Kluyveromyces lactis: one gene and its partners. The main gene of each other region encodes a partner of the protein of the gene in region 4 in a complex. Links are inferred from orthologs where the notes say so. Each region holds a gene or a part of one and is shown on either strand. Other genes may lie near its edges. The genes, in order: RSM18, MRPS8, MRPS18, RSM7, MRP2, RSM25 and MRPS12.

What was found.
Region 1: RSM7 (region 4) and RSM18 share a complex: the UniProt entries of both Schizosaccharomyces pombe proteins name them as parts of the mitochondrial small ribosomal subunit. The link is inferred for Kluyveromyces lactis from reciprocal best matches to the Schizosaccharomyces pombe genes rsm7 and rsm18.
Region 2: RSM7 (region 4) and MRPS8 share a complex: the UniProt entries of both Schizosaccharomyces pombe proteins name them as parts of the mitochondrial small ribosomal subunit. The link is inferred for Kluyveromyces lactis from reciprocal best matches to the Schizosaccharomyces pombe genes rsm7 and mrps8.
Region 3: RSM7 (region 4) and MRPS18 share a complex: the UniProt entries of both Schizosaccharomyces pombe proteins name them as parts of the mitochondrial small ribosomal subunit. The link is inferred for Kluyveromyces lactis from reciprocal best matches to the Schizosaccharomyces pombe genes rsm7 and mrps18.
Region 5: RSM7 (region 4) and MRP2 share a complex: the UniProt entries of both Schizosaccharomyces pombe proteins name them as parts of the mitochondrial small ribosomal subunit. The link is inferred for Kluyveromyces lactis from reciprocal best matches to the Schizosaccharomyces pombe genes rsm7 and mrp2.
Region 6: RSM7 (region 4) and RSM25 share a complex: the UniProt entries of both Schizosaccharomyces pombe proteins name them as parts of the mitochondrial small ribosomal subunit. The link is inferred for Kluyveromyces lactis from reciprocal best matches to the Schizosaccharomyces pombe genes rsm7 and rsm25.
Region 7: RSM7 (region 4) and MRPS12 share a complex: the UniProt entries of both Schizosaccharomyces pombe proteins name them as parts of the mitochondrial small ribosomal subunit. The link is inferred for Kluyveromyces lactis from reciprocal best matches to the Schizosaccharomyces pombe genes rsm7 and mrps12.

What each region holds. Positions count from the first base shown.
Region 1 is NC_006041.1:409,178-412,112, forward strand, and holds RSM18 (mitochondrial 37S ribosomal protein bS18m), read right to left. Parts: upstream 1,105-2,935; coding exon 637-1,104; downstream 1-636. Other genes in the region: protein kinase PKP1, read left to right, coding at 1-503; KLLA0_E04577g (uncharacterized protein), read right to left, coding at 1,334-1,720; KLLA0_E04599g (uncharacterized protein), read right to left, coding at 2,005-2,382; KLLA0_E04621g (uncharacterized protein), read left to right, coding at 2,832-2,935. UniProt on the Schizosaccharomyces pombe protein: Component of the mitochondrial ribosome (mitoribosome), a dedicated translation machinery responsible for the synthesis of mitochondrial genome-encoded proteins, including at least some of the essential transmembrane subunits of the mitochondrial respiratory chain.
Region 2 is NC_006041.1:141,131-143,774, reverse strand, and holds MRPS8 (mitochondrial 37S ribosomal protein uS8m), read right to left. Parts: upstream 1,319-2,644; coding exon 851-1,318; downstream 1-850. Other genes in the region: BUG1 (Bug1p), read left to right, coding at 1-518; AIM36 (Aim36p), read left to right, coding at 1,866-2,519. UniProt on the Schizosaccharomyces pombe protein: Component of the mitochondrial ribosome (mitoribosome), a dedicated translation machinery responsible for the synthesis of mitochondrial genome-encoded proteins, including at least some of the essential transmembrane subunits of the mitochondrial respiratory chain.
Region 3 is NC_006041.1:673,218-676,268, reverse strand, and holds MRPS18 (mitochondrial 37S ribosomal protein YmS18), read right to left. Parts: upstream 1,260-3,051; coding exon 642-1,259; downstream 1-641. Other genes in the region: serine/threonine/tyrosine protein kinase MCK1, read left to right, coding at 2,482-3,051. UniProt on the Schizosaccharomyces pombe protein: Component of the mitochondrial ribosome (mitoribosome), a dedicated translation machinery responsible for the synthesis of mitochondrial genome-encoded proteins, including at least some of the essential transmembrane subunits of the mitochondrial respiratory chain.
Region 4 is NC_006041.1:512,017-515,131, reverse strand, and holds RSM7 (mitochondrial 37S ribosomal protein uS7m), read right to left. Parts: upstream 1,648-3,115; coding exon 853-1,647; downstream 1-852. Other genes in the region: EDE1 (Ede1p), read right to left, coding at 1-51; KLLA0_E05765g (uncharacterized protein), read left to right, coding at 334-780; PSY4 (Psy4p), read left to right, coding at 2,588-3,115. UniProt on the Schizosaccharomyces pombe protein: Component of the mitochondrial ribosome (mitoribosome), a dedicated translation machinery responsible for the synthesis of mitochondrial genome-encoded proteins, including at least some of the essential transmembrane subunits of the mitochondrial respiratory chain.
Region 5 is NC_006038.1:936,856-939,499, forward strand, and holds MRP2 (mitochondrial 37S ribosomal protein uS14m), read right to left. Parts: upstream 1,245-2,644; coding exon 897-1,244; downstream 1-896. Other genes in the region: Rho family GTPase RHO1, read left to right, coding at 1-268; DCG1 (Dcg1p), read right to left, coding at 1,532-2,362. UniProt on the Schizosaccharomyces pombe protein: Component of the mitochondrial ribosome (mitoribosome), a dedicated translation machinery responsible for the synthesis of mitochondrial genome-encoded proteins, including at least some of the essential transmembrane subunits of the mitochondrial respiratory chain.
Region 6 is NC_006041.1:743,681-746,828, reverse strand, and holds RSM25 (mitochondrial 37S ribosomal protein mS23), read right to left. Parts: upstream 1,685-3,148; coding exon 899-1,684; downstream 1-898. Other genes in the region: EFM6 (putative protein-lysine N-methyltransferase), read left to right, coding at 1-663; KSH1 (Ksh1p), read left to right, coding at 2,088-2,306; rRNA-binding ribosome biosynthesis protein UTP25, read right to left, coding at 2,649-3,148. UniProt on the Schizosaccharomyces pombe protein: Component of the mitochondrial ribosome (mitoribosome), a dedicated translation machinery responsible for the synthesis of mitochondrial genome-encoded proteins, including at least some of the essential transmembrane subunits of the mitochondrial respiratory chain.
Region 7 is NC_006042.1:669,591-672,501, reverse strand, and holds MRPS12 (mitochondrial 37S ribosomal protein uS12m), read right to left. Parts: upstream 1,293-2,911; coding exon 789-1,292; downstream 1-788. Other genes in the region: ARC35 (Arc35p), read right to left, coding at 1-388; type 2C protein phosphatase PTC6, read left to right, coding at 2,344-2,911. UniProt on the Schizosaccharomyces pombe protein: Component of the mitochondrial ribosome (mitoribosome), a dedicated translation machinery responsible for the synthesis of mitochondrial genome-encoded proteins, including at least some of the essential transmembrane subunits of the mitochondrial respiratory chain.

The DNA of each region.
Region 1 (2,935 bases), about 100 kb from region 4:
CGAACGAATTTGTTAACGATTTGACATTTATCAAATACGATAAGACCGTTCCAGTGAAAATTATGGAAGGGTCTGATGTGAAATTTTCATATATACCTACGGATCTAGAATACGTCCTTCAAGAATTGCTTAAGAACAGCTCGAGAGCACATATTGAAAACAACGTTGACAAAGATGTGGAAGTAACAATAGTGAAAAACGACGATCAACTTGAGATCAGAATCAGAGACTTCGGAGGCGGTATAGATCCACAGGTAGAAGACCGAGTCTTTGATTATTCTTTTTCCACAACGGTGAAGGAAGAGAAGGACAGCGGTATGAGCGATTATGTTTTACCTGGTCAAGAAGTCCAAAACGTTGCAGGTATGGGATTCGGACTTCCAATGTGCAAAGCGTACCTAGAGTTGTTCAATGGTACACTTGACATTCAGTCATTGTGGGGATGGGGTACTGATGTTTATATACGATTGCACGGTCCATCGGATAGACTATTCGACAAATGAGAACACTGTACTATCATTCAGTCCCGGAGCTTTCCATTGCAACGTGTTTATACTGTTAGCGCTATTTACAGATATAATCCTATTTATTGAGAAACATATATTCATATATACAAGAAGTTATCACATGTCATGATTAGCTTCTGTTTGCAGTTCTTTGAGGAAGCACCGATATGTCTTTGTGAACCTTAGACATCAAACCTATTGCTTGGCATCTCTTAATAGCCTTTGTTAGACGACGCTGGTTCTTAGCCGATAAACCAGTTACATCTCTGTGTAATATTTTACCCGTTGATGTCACAAATCTTGACAAGAACTCTGGGTTGGTGTATAAATCAAGTGGATTGATCTTCAATTTGTTGAATGGGTCAAACGATCCAGGACGTACCCCAAACTTCTTATCTAAATGTATTCTTTCTAAGGAGAAATCAAATGGATTGTAAACGGAGCCCGGCTGAAAGTTTTTGATTAACTTGGATTCTAGCTTCTTGATTGTGGGCTTGCTATTAGCTTCCGACATACCTTCTTTCAGAAGTTTTTGGTCAAGACTGTTGCAGACATATCTTGTGGTAGAAAAGAATCTTGCGCAGCTGCGGGAAAACATTTCTTCTGATGTGTTTTAATTTATTCAATCTCTCGTTAACAGGCGTAGAAAGGCCCGAGCGACTTGGTTGTTTTCCTTCTCTTGCTTGCTTAATATTCATGTTATTGAATAAAATTTTCCATGTTGAAAAGATCTCTAAATTTCAAAAAAAAAGAGATTGAAATAAAGGATACTTAAGTCATTGCCAGGCATTCAACCTTTTTCCTGTTGTCAACCCAGTTTACGCAGATCAACCTTGGAGGTGTAGCGCGATTGATCGGAAAGCTCTTGCAGGAAGTCGGGCATCCCTGTGGATCAAACCCGGCGCGCTCCAGCACCTACAGGCCGATGCAATCGGCCTCCTATTCTTTGACCTGGCCAAAACTGATGATCCGTTTGCTGGGTACCGGCGACGGTACCGCTGAGCGCTGCTATGCCGGCAGTCAGGTTGGTTATAGCCAGCAAAATGGAGCCGAGTGCCTACCCAGGTCAGCGGTGCGTTGCGCTTGGTCACGTGTGAGATTTCGTGTGCCAGCATCGAGGCTAGCTGGCTTTCATTGTCGGTAACCTGCAGCAGTAATGGATCTTTGATCAGCGGCGCGCTGGCGCGCTGCTGCCGCACGTAGAAATCGCCCATAGCCAGCCGTGGGCCACAATCAAACGTTTACCCCAGCTTTTCGGCAGGGTCTTGATTCTTGGCTGGATCTGATGGGAATAATGAATCAGTAAATAACTGCGATTCTGAACTAATTCGAGGATTTTATCAATATTGGTGTGATTTCCAATGTAACATCAATTCATCTATTATCAGTCAGTGTTCTATCCGCTCTGGTGGTTATTCAGGTTAAGTAGGTTAACATATAAACGTAACAACAAATTAAAAAGCTGGAAAATATTACTACTTTTCCAGCTTTCAATCCATTAATCGTTAAATACAAAACTTTCTTCAGCTAGATTGTGGTCTTTTCTATAACTCTCGTCCAATATTAAATAATCATCTGGTTGTTTAGAGCTTACTCCTTTCAACCAAAACTGTTCACCGTAAGCTATCAGCATTGCCCAATGATACTCAAGTTCATGGCTACGAAGACATACTGCCAGATAACTATCAATGGGCTTACATACTAATGAAGACGATAAAACCATTAATTCAGCCTCATCTTCTTTTTTATTTGCATACTTAACGATAATTGCTTTAAGCATTTCTACCCAAGTATGGAAATTAAAAACAACTGTTTCTTCAGGATCATCTTCGTCTTTAAAAACAACTCCATCAACAATTTTATCCTTATTAATCATTATCGACAACCTCTAACTTTAAATCTATCAAACAGCGCAGCTGCTTTCTTTCTACAAATAGCAAGTTGTGTCTCTTTAGATCTAGGAATGGCGAGGGGGGGTTAATAATTCTATTAATTGTATCAATTCTAATAATGATTATATTTATAGTTATTTATACTCATATTATACTTCCGCGTCTCATTAATGTAATATTAATGAGGCGCGATTTGATTTTGATGAAATTAATTAAAAAAATAGAGAACTAAAATCAAGGCACAGACAAAGATAAGTACACGCAGAACCGCATCTATCTGGTGGACGTGAGCCAGGCAAATAATAAACTTATCGAGGTTTAAAGGAAGATTGGTATTGCCTATAATCTTAATAAAAAAAGAAGTTACAATTCAGAATCAAAATTTAATACAGTTTGTTAATATTCAGAAGTGCCTTAATTAAGTTAACGAATTATGTTTAGTAAACTATCATTGAATAACATAACTGATTCAATCAGTAATGCCGCACAGCGTACTCAGGAACAATTTTCCTCTGCCATTGAAAAGATCCACTTGGA
Region 2 (2,644 bases), about 370 kb from region 4:
AAAAAGAGGAAGAACCAATAGAGGCAAAAAGTACAGATGAAGTTGAAGAATTGTTTGGCGGGAATGATGATAAAGAGAAAGATTTCCTTTCGACGATACAAGAACAGAAAAGCCAAGATGAAGTAATAAACCTCAAGGAAGAAGTTTCAAAGCTAAAAGATCAAGTAAAGCAATTGAAGTTTGTCAACATAGATCAAGAAAGCTCCATAGAAGAGCTTGAAGAACAGATAAACATCATGAAATCTCAACTCAATGATAAAACTGTACAATTGCTGTCCGCTCAGCAGGAGCTATCTACGTCTAGACAAGAAGTAGAGCAGCTTAGAGCAACACAATCACCACAACTAACCCCTGTGGAATTCTCTTCCTTTGATAGACATTCTCCATCCAAATTCGAGCCATCGAGACAGATTCAGCATCCAACGACAGACCCTGTTATGTTAGCTAAGTGGAAGAACTGGAATGTCGATATGACAAATTGGAGATCAGTTGGTGTTGGCCCAGTTGTGGAATTTTAAGTAAGTTTCAGCCTTGTTACTATTACCACAGAGCTATGATTTTTTTATGATTTGTCTCATTTGTCTCGTTTAGGCAAATATAATGCTATAATGTACAAGTATACAATTATATTAGTGTATGTATAAAACTGATATTTGACACGATTGATGATTGTCGCTAAAAGGAAAATCGCACTGATTGAATGTTACTATATACATGGAATATGAGGTGGATTTCCTTTTGATGATATTGGAAGTTTCGATGGTCCATCACACATGTTGATGAAATATTCTGCACTTTGTTTTTGATTATATGACTAATGGTCTTTATTGCTGGGAATTTTACTGATGATTCACCTAATTCTGCATAGCACTTCACCACCGACTTTCTTGGCGATAGCATCATCGATATCCATAATTTCATTCCCAGATTTCACTAAAATTAATTCACCAGGAGCCAAAGGTTTGATCAATCTGACGGAGGTACCTGAACATAGTTTCTTCAAATCATGTGCATCTAGACTGATTCTCAAGTTTGGTTTTGATATCAATCTACAACTAGAAATAACTGGCTTGTTTTCCCTGTATTTTAAACCCAACCACAGTTTTCTAGTAGCGATATTATCTGGCGTTACGTCTACCGGTGTGACATCTGGGCCCTTAGTAGATCCTCGTTGTAAACTGGATAAGAAGCCATGCTTGTATAAGTTATAAGCGAAGTTCAAGTGTAACTTTGTATATGGGATTGAAGTCAAACCAATTCTTGCGCGGGAACAGTTTTGCAAGTGCGCGCAAACATTACCCAAATTCACTAATGACATTCTTGACAAAGTGTATCACAATTGTTATGGAAGCTTAATGAGGATCGTTTTTCCTTGATTGGAGAGGCCAACCCGGTAACAGTTTATCATTGAAGAGTTGTCCTTCATCTCATGTGTATAGCCCAAATTTTGGTGAACAGAAAATTTTTAGAATATCTACATATCCCACCCGTACATCACACCGTCAGTGTTTGGAAAGAAATAGCCAACGGTGTCTTTATCAGCCTAGAATGAAGCGAAAGCAGTGTTGGAAGTAAGCTGCTAGATGCAGTTTCATATAATCTTCTAACTGTACGCCTTCTCAAGCCAGGGTCCTATAATGGCAATCTCCTTACCTCTTCTCTTTTGTTTTGTACCTTATCACTTTTCTATCAAACCTGTGGAAATATTTCGTCAATGACATTTTAAGATCTTTCAATATAGCTTGCTGGAGAAGATCCGGAATGTTATGACATTTTAATTAGGATTGCTTCTTTGTTTCACTACGAGGCCTATAGCCAATCTCATCAGTAGCTATCTGCTGCACTATACAAAGATCAAGGCCGATATGTTCGTACGCGCTGCACCAAGATTATTGAAGTCTCCGGTCATGCGCCGGATGCTGTCTGGAAAAATGGATAAAGCTGAAGAACCACCAAGTTTTAAAACCATTTTACTTGTTGGTTTAGTTGGGACTGCTATTTTTGTTAAGGCAGTCGACTCTTTGGAACAGAACAAGCCTAAAAACACGTACACATTCTCTGAATTTGACACTGTGATGAGTGGTCTAAGAAGAAGAGTTTCGATCTTTGAGCAAGATGATTTAAATTTAAGATGTGTGCAAACCGGAGTTGCAACCAAGAAACTGAAATTCCCCGAAGATGCGAAGGTTATCAAACCTTCAGAAGCTATTGAATTCTTCAGAAATAAGTCTGACGATAAATATTATGTGCTTTTAAATGATTTATATGAAAAGGAGGGGAAATCGTACATGGAAAAACTACCAACAGGTCTCTCTGTCGTCTTGATAGGTAAATATATGAAGGAGAAATGTCAAAAGGGTGACACTGTTTATCTACTTGACTTCCCAGACAATATAAAAGATGCGATCAAGTTCGAAAATGAGGTTTCCGTTATCGACAAAGTTATTGTACCAAATTCAGAAGGAGACGGCCAGGTTTCCAAATACTTTAAAACCGTGGATAAAGTTGAGACCATCTAAAATGACCCCTCATGCCATTTTCCCCATCGGCACCCTTTTGCATATATCTGGGGACTTCCTATAACAATCCATCCAACTTTATCTCGATTAAACTTTGTAAATATCATCAGTATCTAATTGCCATT
Region 3 (3,051 bases), about 160 kb from region 4:
TGTCCGTAGTCGAAAGGAATATTCAGCACGAACAGGGTATCCCTGGCCAGGTAGCACAATCGCACTGTGATTTGCAGGTACAGGATATGGCTCCAGGCTCAGGGAAGGAATGGATGATAGGCTGGATGGACAGCAGTTCCTGCCTACGCACCTCAGAATGTCAGTGCGAGTAGAGGGGAGAGTGGGCAGAATCAGAGTCCTCTCGCTGGGAAGACTAGACTCGAACGGAGCGACAGAAGGAGAACGGTGAGAACCTGGCAGCCGGAACGCCTCCTCTGCCTTTCCTTTTTTTAGAACCTCCAATTGAAATTTTAATTACCTAAAATGGAATACTAAAATACCTAACAATTTTTACAAAAAATCTAAAGCCAAATCCGTGCATCCACAAAACAGTCCCGCTACTTTCCGGAAAATTTTAAATCTTCGATGAAATTAGCATCCAGAGATTATAAGGCATGAGCAATGTCATAATTGTGTGAAATCATACTTCGAATTGCTGTCTTAATGTATTTAAACGAAAATTCTGGTGCGTTACGTTAAATTTATATACATGCATTATTTGTTATTATACCGAATTATTTTCCAAATTCATGTCTATACACAGAGACTATTAGTGAAAGATGAAATGGTGAGAGACCGAATCACAATCTTCTTGGTCTTGGGGCCTTCACACCACCGAATTTCAATTCAGTAGCATCGGCTACTCTAGATATGTGACGTCTGATGAGGTTTCCTTCCTTACCGTTCAATGCACTGATGAAAGCATCTCTTCCCTTACCGAAGTCTCTCATAACAATTTCTATATTCTTATCCAGTAGCTTCTTCTGATAAAGAGTTTCAAATAACTTAGTTGCTGTTTGGAATGAGGCTTCATATTCACCACGGGCAGCTTTACGGAACCCTAAATGACCAGTAGATAAATGAAATTTGACCTGTTGTGGGAGTTTCAAATAGTATAGATATTTTTCGTTGTAGGATAATTGTGGATTGTTCGCCAAAAAGTTTCTATCCTCCATTACGGCACTGTATGTGAAATGTGTATTGTTCTTAGTGAATCTGCAGTTCAATATATATTTTATCACTGCTTCATCGACTCTCCCTTTCTTATTGCTACCACGAAGAGTATTAGGTTGGACAACATTGGTGTCTTCCATCACTGGAGCCTTTTCTGATCCTTTGACAGATGAAAATAAGATGGAAGCCACATCTTGGTTTGTCCTGGCCGTTGAGCTGAACAGTCTCACTAATGTTCTCAGCATCGTGGTGTATTTTCGACGCCGATTTATATTAACCACAACCTGTGTCTTTCTCGAATGCAGGTCTCCATACTCAGACGAATAGTATTCCTCTATGAAATGCAAACTCTAAATATCTTCTGTTTTCCCAATTCATTTTCAAGATATGCTCATAAACCATTACCCGGTGTTGCATTAACACGTGACTAACTTGTCATTACCCGGTGTATAAGGATTAGCCTTTAATGTGAAGTGCCTGCAGTCCACTGGCGGAAGATATCACGTTGATAAAGAGTGCCGAGATGCGATGGGGTAAACATTTGATAGAAATATTATATGCAGACTGGCGAAGATCACCTCGCATTCCCCAAACCATTTCTACAACTTGATGCTACAATCAAGAGAAAGTTCAGGTGGAGGATATAGGACCTGAACCTGAGTAATTCCTCATTAATGCTATAAATGCCAATTTAACTTCGTTTGTGCATTCATATCTAGAGAGAGTGTAGTACTCTCAGAGTCGAACTTCATAAAAGCTGGCTCTGGGAGATCTTAGAATTAAATTTTGTTTGGAACGTTCCCTCAATTAGAACGTCTTTTATATCGCTTTTATCAATAATTGTGTAACTCAGTCAGTAGTCAGTCAGTCATATTGATATCAGATTCTTGGAAAACCGAATATGAAAATCAATTTTAGTTTTAGGAAATTAGGAAAAAACAAACAAAAAATAAACCAGAACCTTGTTTCAAAGTAACAAATAGGGTCTCTGATAACGGACACAACACTGCTAAGGGTGCTCAAACGTTTAAGTTCTGGGAACTTCTAGTTGTTGAATTTGCCGAGCGATTGCAGCGCGAAGAATTTACTGCGAAGAAACATTATAGACACTGCTGCATCACTTGTTGCAAGGGACTAATTGACTTGCTTGAGTAAGAGTGTTTTCCCCCTGTTGTGTTGCTTTTATTAATATTAGCGATTTCATTTCATCAATTCATTTAATACAGATTTTATTGATTCATTACAATTCAATATTTCCCTTTTTTTCCTGAACCATCCACGTTACATCCGTTAGGAACATATCTATATTCTAAGGTTTGCTTGCAAAATAACGGTTGAAGTTTGTAATTTGAAGACTTGAGCGAAATACAACGAACAAAAAGTGGTAATTTTTTTCTTATTCGATAGATATCGCATCGCTTTTGTATCTGTTACTATCTGTCTTCTTTCCCCTTATTGCGATTCGCCATGTCTATGCAAAGATTAGATGAATACGTGGCTCATGATGTCATCAGTAATAAATCCAATGTCAAGCGAGAAATGCTCGTAAAGGAATATAAGCGAATTGGGCAAGGTGCATTTGGCACGGTGGTGCAAGCTTACCTAACACCGGATAATCAGAAGTGGTTGGGTCCTTTTGCCATTAAGAAGGTTCCTGCTCAGACTGAGTATAAATCTAGAGAGTTAGAGATTTTACGAATTGCGGACCATCCAAATGTTGTCAAATTGGAATATTTCTACACTCATATCTCACCAACAGATCATAAATTATACCAACATTTGGCGATGGAATGCTTGCCCGAAATGCTACAAAACGAAATTTTACGATATAAGAAGAATAACTTGGAGTTACCGTTGAAGCACGTTAAACTATACGCCTACCAAATTGCTAGAGGTATGCTTTACCTACATGCACTAGGAATATGCCATAGAGACATAAAACCTTCAAACGTCTTGGTTGATCCACAAACGGGTATATTGAAGATTTGTGATTTTGGATCAGCGAAAAAGTTAGAATCGAACCAACCATCGATTAGT
Region 4 (3,115 bases):
TGCTTGCTTTTCCTCACTAGTGAGGGGTACACGGAACGCAATACCTGACATGGTTCCCAGAGGCGTGGTGGATGTGTATCTGTTGCAGTTTATCGGCTATATTTCACGAAAGGGGTTTCGACCATTTGATCCAATTTGTCGTTATTCAATTATCTCAAAAAGATGATGAAACTATATAATCGTGCAAGATGACTTTCGGATCGCATAAAGAAGTGAAGCATTGATGTAGGATTAAGGTTTCCAATGCGATGAGAGAGTTGAGTTTATCACTTCATTTAGAAATTGTGTAGAGTGTATGCAACTCTTATTGAGAGTTTTTATGAAAATTGATAAATGATAAGATATAAATACGCAGTAACATTTTTCTCGAGTGTATGTTTTGTTGTCTTCCTCGGATTAACTACTGATGCCAGGTTAAAGCTAATAACATCAACTCATGATAAGCTCGCCCATTGCATAGTATTTTGCATTGAAACCGTTCTGTTTACCATGATGTTTGAATGTGATACCGTACAGTTGCCGGCATTCATCCCCAAAAGACTACGATCAAGGAATTTGGCTGCGTACGAACCTTTTTCCATGAACAAATATCTATTGGCATTTATTGTATGCTGCGTATGTGCCAGTACGAGCAGTGAATTTGCACAACAGTTCCTCTCACGAGGAAAAAGGTCCTTTGATGTAAACGATATTTTGGCCAATTTTTCGGGAAGTCTGCTGGGCCTAGGAATTGCATATAAGATAGAGCAACAAATTCAGCATAACTATGAAAATCGATAACGTTCATTTATATTTCACGTATACATATGTACAGGTTTATTCAAGTAAATACAGTGGAGGTTGGAACTTTGATCATTTTAGGTTAATGTAAGCTCTGTGTGCAATAGCAGTCTTATGAATAGAGTCTCTCTTTTCGAAACCTGAACTATTACCGTTGAAGACAGATACCAATTCTTCACCAAGTCTTACTGAGAAATCGCTCGATGATCTCTTCACAGAACTTTCCACAATCCATTTCCAAGCTAATCTAAACCTTTGTCTTTGATTCAATGGAACTGGAACCACAGTGGCCTTTGCGACACCAGTCTTGAAGGTCTTGATAACCATAAGAGGCGCCAACACATCCAAGGATTCTTTCAAAACTTTTACCGGGTCTTTCCTTGTTTGACAGAACACAATATATAACGCTCTTGAAAGAATCTTCTCAGCTCTTTCTCTTTTCCCGTGTCTCATAATCATATTCGTTACATGCTGTAAAACTGGATCCTGTTTTTTTGGAATGGGAACTTGCTTCAACGTTTCCCATTCATTTATTTGCTCTTGACTTGGCTCAAAGCTGGGCTTGTTCAATTCCATAGCCTTCTCCAAGATATTAATTCTAGATTGGTTACCTGGTGCAAGGGACGTAGCTGGGTTATAATCTTGTTGCGAAAACTCTTCTTCTAACGATCCAATAACTTTCAACCATTCATCAACCTGTTCGTCGCTAAGGCTAGCTAATTTCTCCCCTGTAGACGCATTATTATTCACAGATTGACTTTGGAATCTGGTTTGCATGGTCGGTATACTGGCAGCATGTACAAGTGGACTTCTTGCCAAAACGTTAGCATGGACGTGACTCAGACTAAACCTTCCTGCTCTCAACATACTGTACAATTTCCGTTGAATAGATGCCAGTGTACACAAGGACCACACAAGGACACACACAATACAACCAGAACCTATTCAATCTAAGAGTAACTCTCATTAGATCCAAATTCAAGCTTACTTCACCAGAATATGATGATATTGAATTTGGTTTGAAAATCGTAAATTTTTTTGATCAAAGGTTCAGAGATGAGCCAGTGTGAACAGTGTTACCCGCATAAATACACGTGACTACTAATGATCTGTTTCTATGTGCCGTTGGTAGTTTTGCCTGTCAGTGCATTGAGCACAAGCTTGCCAAGAATAATTAATGATATTATATAGACTGTACCTTATTAGACACCTTAGCCTTTAATATTATAGTAAAGATGTCGTTGATCTATTTTGTATTCAGGTATGTAACTATAGTATCTTTAGAACTTCCGTACTTAAGTGTTAAAATTCCTGCCGTTCTTAAGTGAAATCCTTTAAATAATATCACATTTCGTTACGTGAAAAGTTGGTGAAATTTGTTATATGCGCACAATATTATGTGAAATGATAAATAAAAGAAATTTGTTCAAATAACATGTAGGTTTCTAAGCTACAAAGATAGAACGGTCAATCAACAGACTAGAGAACGAACTTTATAAGGCTGCTGGCTGAGCTGGGATTGGCTAACCGTGTACTGTCTATTGGGACTAGGTGTTACAAGTCCGTTGTTTCATATTATTTTCCGAGACTATCCTTTTTATCTATTCTATATCTGCCAGTTTGGAATAAAAAAGGCATCGCTCATACTGGACTTATTTGTGCTAATTAGAATACCCCGAGAACACCGATCTTTCGTTAGTGCCATTTCAAGGAGATCTAACCAAGTGTAATATTACTATACCGTAGAATTTTTTTTTTTTTGCCAGCCTTTCCTACTATCAGCTCATTAATCAGATACATTGTCAATATGATGGGAATAAAATCCAGACATCTATACGACCGTTTGACTAAAATAGTTATCGATAAAGATCTAAGCGCGTTTAACGAAATATCGCCTTCGCAATTGATCCCACAGCTATCTGAACATTTCAGCATAACGATACCGAAGGAGATCTTCAATTATAACGAGGACCAAGAGGAAGACCTTTTACACAGATTGAAAGAGCTATCGAGGTACCTTGTTGTGAAATTTGCAAAAAGAGATAAGTATCCGTTCACGATTCAACGGATATGCGAATTATCTTACCATCCATTACAATATTTCCCTGTGCACAGTTTGCAAAAGTTTGTGTCGGCCATGGAGAAATGTTGCTTGGTGAATACTGATTGGACACCCAGGCTGGGCAAAGAGTGTCCAAACACAAACCCAATGGAAGATGTTTCTCTGATACCTATTGAGTGGATCCGCACGAATAAAGAAGATGAGAAGTCTTTGCAGGCGTTTATTTCGAAGATTGAAACTATAGTGGCTGTAAATTTTGGTTATGATGACTTC
Region 5 (2,644 bases), on a different chromosome or scaffold from region 4:
CTTGGTTGGTTGTAAAGCAGATTTGAGAAATGATCCTCAAGTTGTTGAAGAACTAAGAGCTCAAGGATTACAACCTGTGTCTCAGGCTCAAGCACAAGAAGTCGCTGACCAAATCGGTGCTGTTGACTACATCGAATGTTCTGCCAAGACCGGTTACGGTGTCAGAGAAGTCTTCGAGGCTGCTACAAGAGCTTCTTTGGTCGGTAAACAAGGTAAGAGCAAACCTAAGACTAAGTCTAGCAAAAAAAAGAAGTGTGTCGTCTTGTAAATAAAGACACGCACGCCCCAAACCCACTCTTCACCCCCTTATCTCCAACTTCATTTGAATTTACCTTGAAACAGAGGACTGAGCTTTGAGGATATTATTATTAGGCGATGGGAATTGTTTACAACCGTTAATTGGCAGAAGTAAAGATCCAAAAAAAAAGAAGAGGGAAGACGAACAAACCATATTCATTTGTTTCTAATTGATCAATTTTTAATATACAAATGTCAGCAATTAATTTCCGTTGAATTTCCTAATTTTTTCTCCTCGTTCTTTTCTTTGTTTCCATCTGGTTTCAAGTGACCATCCCTCCCTGACATTTTCTCTTCTACCTCTCTTCTGTTTTGTGTGTTTCTACCTATAAATTATTTTTATATACCTACACTCTTTTATTTTGTAAGAAACTTAAATATTATCACCACTATACTGCACTTTCTCATCTTATAAATGTCACTTGCTTTGCCACAACCCAAGCGCTTCTTTTACATTGATTAAACCTTGTATTTTTTAATGTCTATACACAAGCTTTATATATGTTGAGTTAATTAAAAATATTTACATGCATGCGGGAGAGAAAGATTCCAACTTTTACTAACCTCAGTATCAGGGAACAAAAGATGCTAAACTGCATCTACCATACACCCTTCTTCACACCAGGTAGATCACCTTTCCTGGCAAGTTCTCTGAATTGCGATCTACACAATCTGAAATCACTCAGAACAGATCTGGAGTGTCCCGTTTCAATACATCTGTTCTTGATTTGTGTCATTCTTGTATAGTTAGGCATCACAGAAAGTTGTAACTGAGCTTCCATTCTCGACCTTGGAGGTAGAGTAGTATTTCTAGCAATGAATTTCAATGCCTTTACAGTGACTTCATTGTCTGCAACTTGCTGTCTCTTGAAATTGTCTCTGATAACTCTAGCATTCAAATACGTTGAAGGAAGCTTTGTCTTGATTGGAAATCTGAAACCACCCATGTTGTTTATATCTACAGCCTTCCTTTGGATATACTAATTGCTAGGATAACTATCGAAATTAGTCTCACAGATACTGAATACGCCGAAAACCAAAGAATGCATCCACTAATGCTTGAACTTTATTCTTCATCTTCCGGAGAAGCTCCAAACTCGTTTTTTTCTCTTTCAAAGCTTGAAGTTCATATCATGTTAAACGTTCTTGATGGAGGTCACCTGACTATATTGGCACTATACACGTTATATAAGGAATGGAATGAACACAGCACCATGCCAATGGACTCCCAGTATCATGACTTCTTGATTTCAACTGTATCACCTCTTAGTTCTCTTGCCTTTCTAGCACTTGAATAAGCTCCTTGTTTGGATGTACCGTGTAATCCACTTCTGTAGACAGCCGAAACAATGTTGATCCCGCATACCACTCCGTCAATAATTGGCACTTCATAGCCATTCTGCTGTAAAGCGTTTGCAACAGCATTTTTCAAGTCGCTCATCCCTGCACAGCCCAAGATGATGGTGTCTGCGTGATATTCTTCTACTAAGGTCAAGGCAGTTTTAGACATTGTTTTATGAAGCTCAGCTTCTTCCACTTTGACCAAATCCGATACGGTTTTGATACCAGAACTTAACAATCCAACGCAAAATGTGGACATGCCAAGACCTGCTATGGTTTCCTCATCTCTTAACTGAGCCTTGTAAATTGATGCAAGAATACCGAATTTTGATCCAATGATCCTGGATGAGTACACGGCTGCTTCCACGATACCCATGCACACAACATCATCAAATTCTTCCCTGATAGATTTTATCAATGGATGGTCGCTAAAACATCCAACAAGTACACAATCGACTTGGTTTATTACATCGTAAGCATCTTCCATAACGGCAATTGCAGATTGAATACCATCGAGATGACCCTCAATCACATTGGGTGCCTTACCAAATGGTGCAGTGTACCCGTAAACCACAGTGTCTGGAGCTACATGACCAGCCAATATCTTTAAACAGGCATCGGTCATTGCTTGGGTTGAATTAGGGTTTACAAATAAGACCTTGATGAGCTCATCATCTGGTAAACTCTTCTTGTGCTTTACGAAAGGTAATTTAGACAACGACATCCTTGCTTGTTAGTGTCAGCTATGTTCTATGATTCAATATGTTAATCATCCTGGAATAATGAGCTACTTGACTCCTATCATACAGAGTTATATAAGTTTCTCTCTTTGGTTTATGTTGCTTTTCGTATCTGTCCGGACGCATGTTTTCAGAACCTTTGATTCATTTTTTCCCGGTTATCATAGTGTGAATCAGCCCAAAAACTTTAGGCTTTGACAGTCATGAGAATTGATGAGAGATTCAAGCTGGGGGTTTCTCTTCCAAGTTGCATGGGTAAGGTTCGC
Region 6 (3,148 bases), about 230 kb from region 4:
GGCAAAATTGATATGTCTTTCAATGGAAAACTGCCGAGTCCTCTTATAATCAATGAAGATGGTGGTGAATCCGGATGCGGAGGTAAAGTGTGGATAGCAGGTGAACTGCTATGCGAATATATCCTTGAAAAATCCGACAAGGAACATTTGCTAAGTCATTTGTTTCCAGATGGGAATTGCAATAGCGTTTTGGAACTGGGTAGTGGTACAGGTCTAGTTGGGCTTTGTGTTGGTCTAATGGATCAAGCGAATGAATATTCAGATCGTGAAGTTTATATTTCTGACATTGATCAGCTGCTTGGTCTCATGGAATCTAATATTCAAGTCAACGGATTGGATGATAAGGTTCACGCCGAGGTGTTATGGTGGGGGAATCCCTTGCCGGATGTATTTGTCAAGAAACCGGTTGATTTAGTGCTAGCTGCGGACTGTGTGTACTTAGAAGCTGCTTTCCCATTATTGGAAAAAACACTGTTAGAATTAACTGATGGGGAGAATGTGCCAATTATTCTAATGGCATACAAGAAAAGGCGTAAAGCGGACAAACATTTCTTCCAAAAGATCAAGAAGAACTTTAAAATTGTAGAGATACGAGATTTTATTAACTTCGATAAATATTTGAAACAGAGAACTCATTTGTTTCAGCTTATGAGGGAGAAATAAAAAAATAGTAGTAGGGTGACAACTGACGTTTGTCAAATGCAAAGACACCCCATTTAGTTTGATCTTTTATGCTTTTTGTGATGCTCATGAAAGTACTTTCAATTCGTGAATTAACTATGAGTAACTTTATAGTTATAGTGACTTATATATACATGAAATTTTTATACAATAATGACAGTAAAACTCAGAGTTCTGACGGGAATAGTGTTCATTGGTTGTGTTTAATTGTGGAAGATCATAGTTGAATTTCCTCAACATCTTGATCAATAGGTTTTTGTTCTTCTTCGGTCTCGTTTGTCCAGGAAGCAGAAGGACTACTTGCTCTGGCAGCCATCAACTCAGCTTGCTGTAAGGCCTTTCTCTTCCATGTGTCAATGACCTTTTGTTCCTTAGCAATTCCGTATTCTATTGAAGTGGTATGGAAGACTGAACCGAACATTTCGGCTTCTTCTTGAGCAACTTGATCTTGAATTTCTTGTTGTATTCTTAGACGGTAGAACTCGAATCTAGCTTGATCATATGCATCAATGAGTTCTTTTTTCTCTCCTGATTTTAATAGGAAAAGCGTCCTTTGTACAACTGATTCGCCATCCAATGGCTTGCCTAGTTGTTGGATATGAGACCAGTCATATTCTTGAGTCTCTAGGGTATTCTCAACAAGAATCTTAGGTCTTGAAAGTTCCCATGGATGTTGCTGGAAGAACAATTTTCTCAATTTATCCTCGATATATACTAATTTTGGGGACTGATATAGCTTCGATGCACCATCTTTCTTTTCCAAAGAATTTGGTCTAGTTTTGTATAATCCTGAAGAATTGGCCTTCCAATTGCTGTAATCAGGTAGTGCAGTTCTAGATTTACCGTTCATAGGATGTGTCAGTTGTGGGGTTCTAGCAAACTTCTTTGTTGGTGGTACCTTCGCTATAACATTGTACCAAGCTGGAGTCTTCTTCAAAATACCAGACTTCAAATAGGCGGATGTACGTTCTAGTACATTAACGGCTTCTTGCTGAACCTTCATTTTATATCTGACGTTTATATGGCCCGTTTACTCTATACTATCTCAGTAAACTCGCAGGTTCAAGCAATCGATCCAATACTTGTTGTCCTGGAGCTGTTCATACAGCATATTTGTGAACTTTTCAACTTTTCACTATAATTTCATTTTGGATCGTCGATCAGATTTTTCAAATTTTTCTAAGTAGAAGCATTCAATTTTTAGATCACGTGAAGAGTAAACATTTTTCACCAAAATTAAAGATCGAAGAGCTAAGTGTATGGGGAGCGTAAGTTCCTTTATTCTTTTCAATACAGTGGAATGATAACTGATGAACCTTAGGTTTCATCTCGTTCCTGTTTTGAAAGGTTCAGAGTAGATATTTTCTTCGGCAGAATATTCACGGTCACTAGCTTTTCTGAAAAACATGTCTGCCCTATTCAATTTTAAATCATTGTTACAAGTTATACTATTGTTCATATGTTCGTGCACATATATTCATGCACAAAGACCATCGCTCCTTGATCGTTATAAGGACAGCGGTATACTAGGAGTATTTTGGAAGTTTGCGAGAATTGGGGAAAGAGCTAGTCCTTATGTGTCTTTAGCTTGCATTGCCATGGCAGTTTCGCAATTCAACAGTTGATAAACCCAAGGGAAAAGATAAAGATAAGTCACAATTGCTATAGGTGAAAGCTCTCATTAGCAAGTTTGACCGGCTCTGAGGTCTATAGAATTATATTTTAAGTATAAAATTAGTTTAATCTATTATCGGGCGGCTATTGGATTCGTTTGCGGGCTTGTCTCTTTGCATCAAATAATTAAGAATTAATATGTACTCTTTGAATCTGACTTTGAGTTTCAAAATTCTACAACAAACAAAGAAGTTGAAAAGTGCAACATATTTTAATACTCTAAGCTATTAGTAAAGGAGAACGATTGCGTAAGTTTTCGGTTTACTAATTATTTATGGCATATTTGATCCACTCTATTTAAACTCGTACACTTCGTTTTGGCCATGAGCCAATACTGCCGCGCGTTTAGATCCTACGACTCTCTCTAGAGAAAGACCGTCCATCTTACTATATATGCATCTGACAGTTGAAATGTTGATATCACAGTTGCCTAAAAATACGTTCTTACCAATATTGCGAACAACTTCAGAATAGAATTCAGGATTTCCCGGAGGCTTGTAGAAAATTACACTCTTGACGTTTTTTATTTCGTACCTTCTAAAGTGGTGCAATCTTTCTGTGTATAACAAGACCTTCACCTTTCCGTGTTGGAATCTTGCTCTATTGGATGTCAATTGTTTCTGGTTAGAGTACTCGTTGATTTCTCCGAATATGATTGTAGTTTTTTCTTTCAAATAGTTTCTAACACGGATGAAATCGGTATAATCAGGAATGTATAATAATATACCATCCTCGTACCCAGTAGATTTCACAATAGACGGAACGATGACACTCGTAAAAAATTTAAACCTGT
Region 7 (2,911 bases), on a different chromosome or scaffold from region 4:
AGAATGGATATGACATTACAAGGATCTTAAACAAAGATGCTTGCACAATAGATTGCGCAGTGATTTGAGATAGATCAACAGTAATGGTAAAATCGTAACCGGCCTCCTTTTTAGCAGATGATAGAGCCAAACCTGGTACTTCATCGAATTTTGCCTGCAAGAACCCTTGTAAATCGTTCCCACTCTCATTACAAGATTGCGTAGCCTTGGTTCTGATGGAAACTAATAGGTTCGACTTATCAGTGCCATCGTTGGTGATGTGTAACGTTGTATAATCAAAGTCGGAGATGATTCTGTCCAAAGTTAAAGGAGACCCATTGTTGTAAGCTTCCAAAGCTTCTGTTAATGTCTTTTGGACCAATAGGTTGTATGGTTTAAGGTGTAACATTATTATGTATTGATATTAGAAGGCTCACAAGTGTTCACCCAGGCTTTTTTTTCGAACAAGTCTATGAGCTTTTCTTCAATTGACTTGGAACAATATCAACTTGTAAGTTTCCTCAACACTGAGCAGGTTTAGTCTCTTCGAAATTTCCCAATTCCTTGCAGATGATGAATCTTTCTTTCTGTTTGTTCCAATAGGGGCACCTTTTCGTTGAAATCGTTGTTAACTAAATTTTCAGCACTTTTCTATGATGGAAAAACCATCCGAACAAAATTTCGGTCACGTGGCCATAAAGATTGAGCAACCAGTAGATAGATTATTCGCATATTTACATGAAGGTCTAGTTTATAAACATAAGTATATATTTTATGTTGATAATTCAGAATATAATACTGTTGGTATCTTACTCCTTTGTTGGTTTCTTCACACCGTACTTCGATCTGGAGCTGATTCTGTTGACAACACCGGCCAAATCACCGGCACCACGGACAACATGATATTTCACACCAGGTAAATCTTGGCAACGGCCTCCACGAACATATACAATACTGTGCTCTTGTGCGTTATGGCCTTCGCCTGGGATATATGCAGAAACAATGTTACCATTGGTTAATCTCACTCTACAAGCTTTTCTCTGAGCAGAATTAGGTTTCTTTGGCTTCAATACCATCACTCTTAGCACAACTCCTTTACGAATCGGGCATACCTCCAAATCTGGGGATTCAGTGATCTTCTTACGGCCAGGAGGCTTGACCCCTCTCTTTATTTGGTTCAACGTGGCTTGTATTGGTGAAGTATATGAGAAAGAACGTTGTTGCAGTGGTGGTGCAAATGCTATGCTTGAACGAACATTACGCAACGATAGTCTAGTCAGACTACTGCTCAATCCGAAAACCTGTTTGAACATTGGTATCTTTGACAGGATTGTTTCTTAAGATCCAGTGCACGTAAGTCAAACTCAGAGTTGAACTTACGCCAACATTTATTCACTGACCGATTGATATAACTCTTTCAATTCAACATTTGCTTCATAATTTTTTGTCAGTTTCTGATGATGAAAAATCATAGTTGAAAATATTCGGAAGTCATGTGATCGAATATGTGTTGTTGCTGATGTCCGGGAAATTGTTCAGAAAATGTGCATGGTTTGAGAGATCTTTTAACCTAAAAGATTTTGTTCATTTCGTTGGGAACACCAGCTGCACTATGCGGGTTCCGAATTACGAGAAAAGTCCTTACTGAGGTAGTTGTTGTATTTCCTATTTTGAAATATCAAACAACTATACTGGATTATGGACGATCAAGCTGTAAGGTGGGTGCAGGTAAATAGGGTGTTTGAACCAACTACTTGAATTATGCGTGATAGAATATTGCGGGGTAGTTTGACTTCCGGGCTCGAGTAATTAGGTAGGCTGGTGTTAAAGCGACTGTCTATTTTTTTAGTTTTTGTATCACGTGCATAAGATCAGATAGTTTTCTCTCCTGGTGTCTGCTGCCGAGTAACAGCCGTTCCGTCACTATTTGGCAAAATGCGTCAAGATAGCCCCATATACGGTAGTTAACGATAGCAATGGCTTATATACACCTCCATATCACGCTAGCATGTGGTAATGAAACACTAGTGAGATTTTGACGGTTTCCTATATGAAGAGGGTAGTGTTGAAGCACTATTGCGGAATGTATAGAAAAAAAAAAAAAAAAAAAAAAAAAAAAAAACAGTAGGTACACTTTAAAGGAAAATAAATCTAGTTATAATAAAGTCTAGTGAATATACAAGGGTTTGGCTCTTTTTTTTGGCTCGTTGATGCATCCGCCACACACGAGAGAAGTGTTTTCAATTGGCATTCTTGAACCTTTCTTATATGTCTGGGGTATTCGGTTATAAGATATTGTGAGGCTAATTCTTGTGTTACCATTTGTGTTAAGTTGAACACGATTGTGATTATAGCCAACCCGAGATGGGTAAAACCCAGTCATTCATTCACCTAAGGCCAGCTGATCTTCTACAAAAGACAGCTGGCAGATCGACTCTACAAACTACAGCGGCAAGCCATGCTGCTTCGAAAGAAACAAAACCTCATATGTTAAGGGTTCATTTGAACAAATATCCTGGTTTCATCGGGCATGCGACTTCAAGGATTAATAGACTATACAACGAGGATTCTTATTCTATGAATATTCTGAAGTTGCCAACAACTATAGCCGAAAGCTCGTTGTTAAACTCAAAAAAATCGATCGCTACTAAGATGAAACTTTGGAAAGAATTACCTCCCCAGAGAAACGTTTTGAATATTTCTATATTTGACGGTCATGGAGGAGATCGTGTCTCTAAGATGCTGGCTTCAGGTTTGCACGATCATATAACAGCTATGGTCCCCATCAGACAAGAGTTTGACGCTGTATTAAAAAAATATCAGGACTTAGTGGGGGGGAAGTACTGGTCGAGGATATACAAAGGTAGAAAGGAGTACTATGAGAGGTATATCAAAAAATGTAACACTAAAGTGGAGCAAGTCCTACTCACGG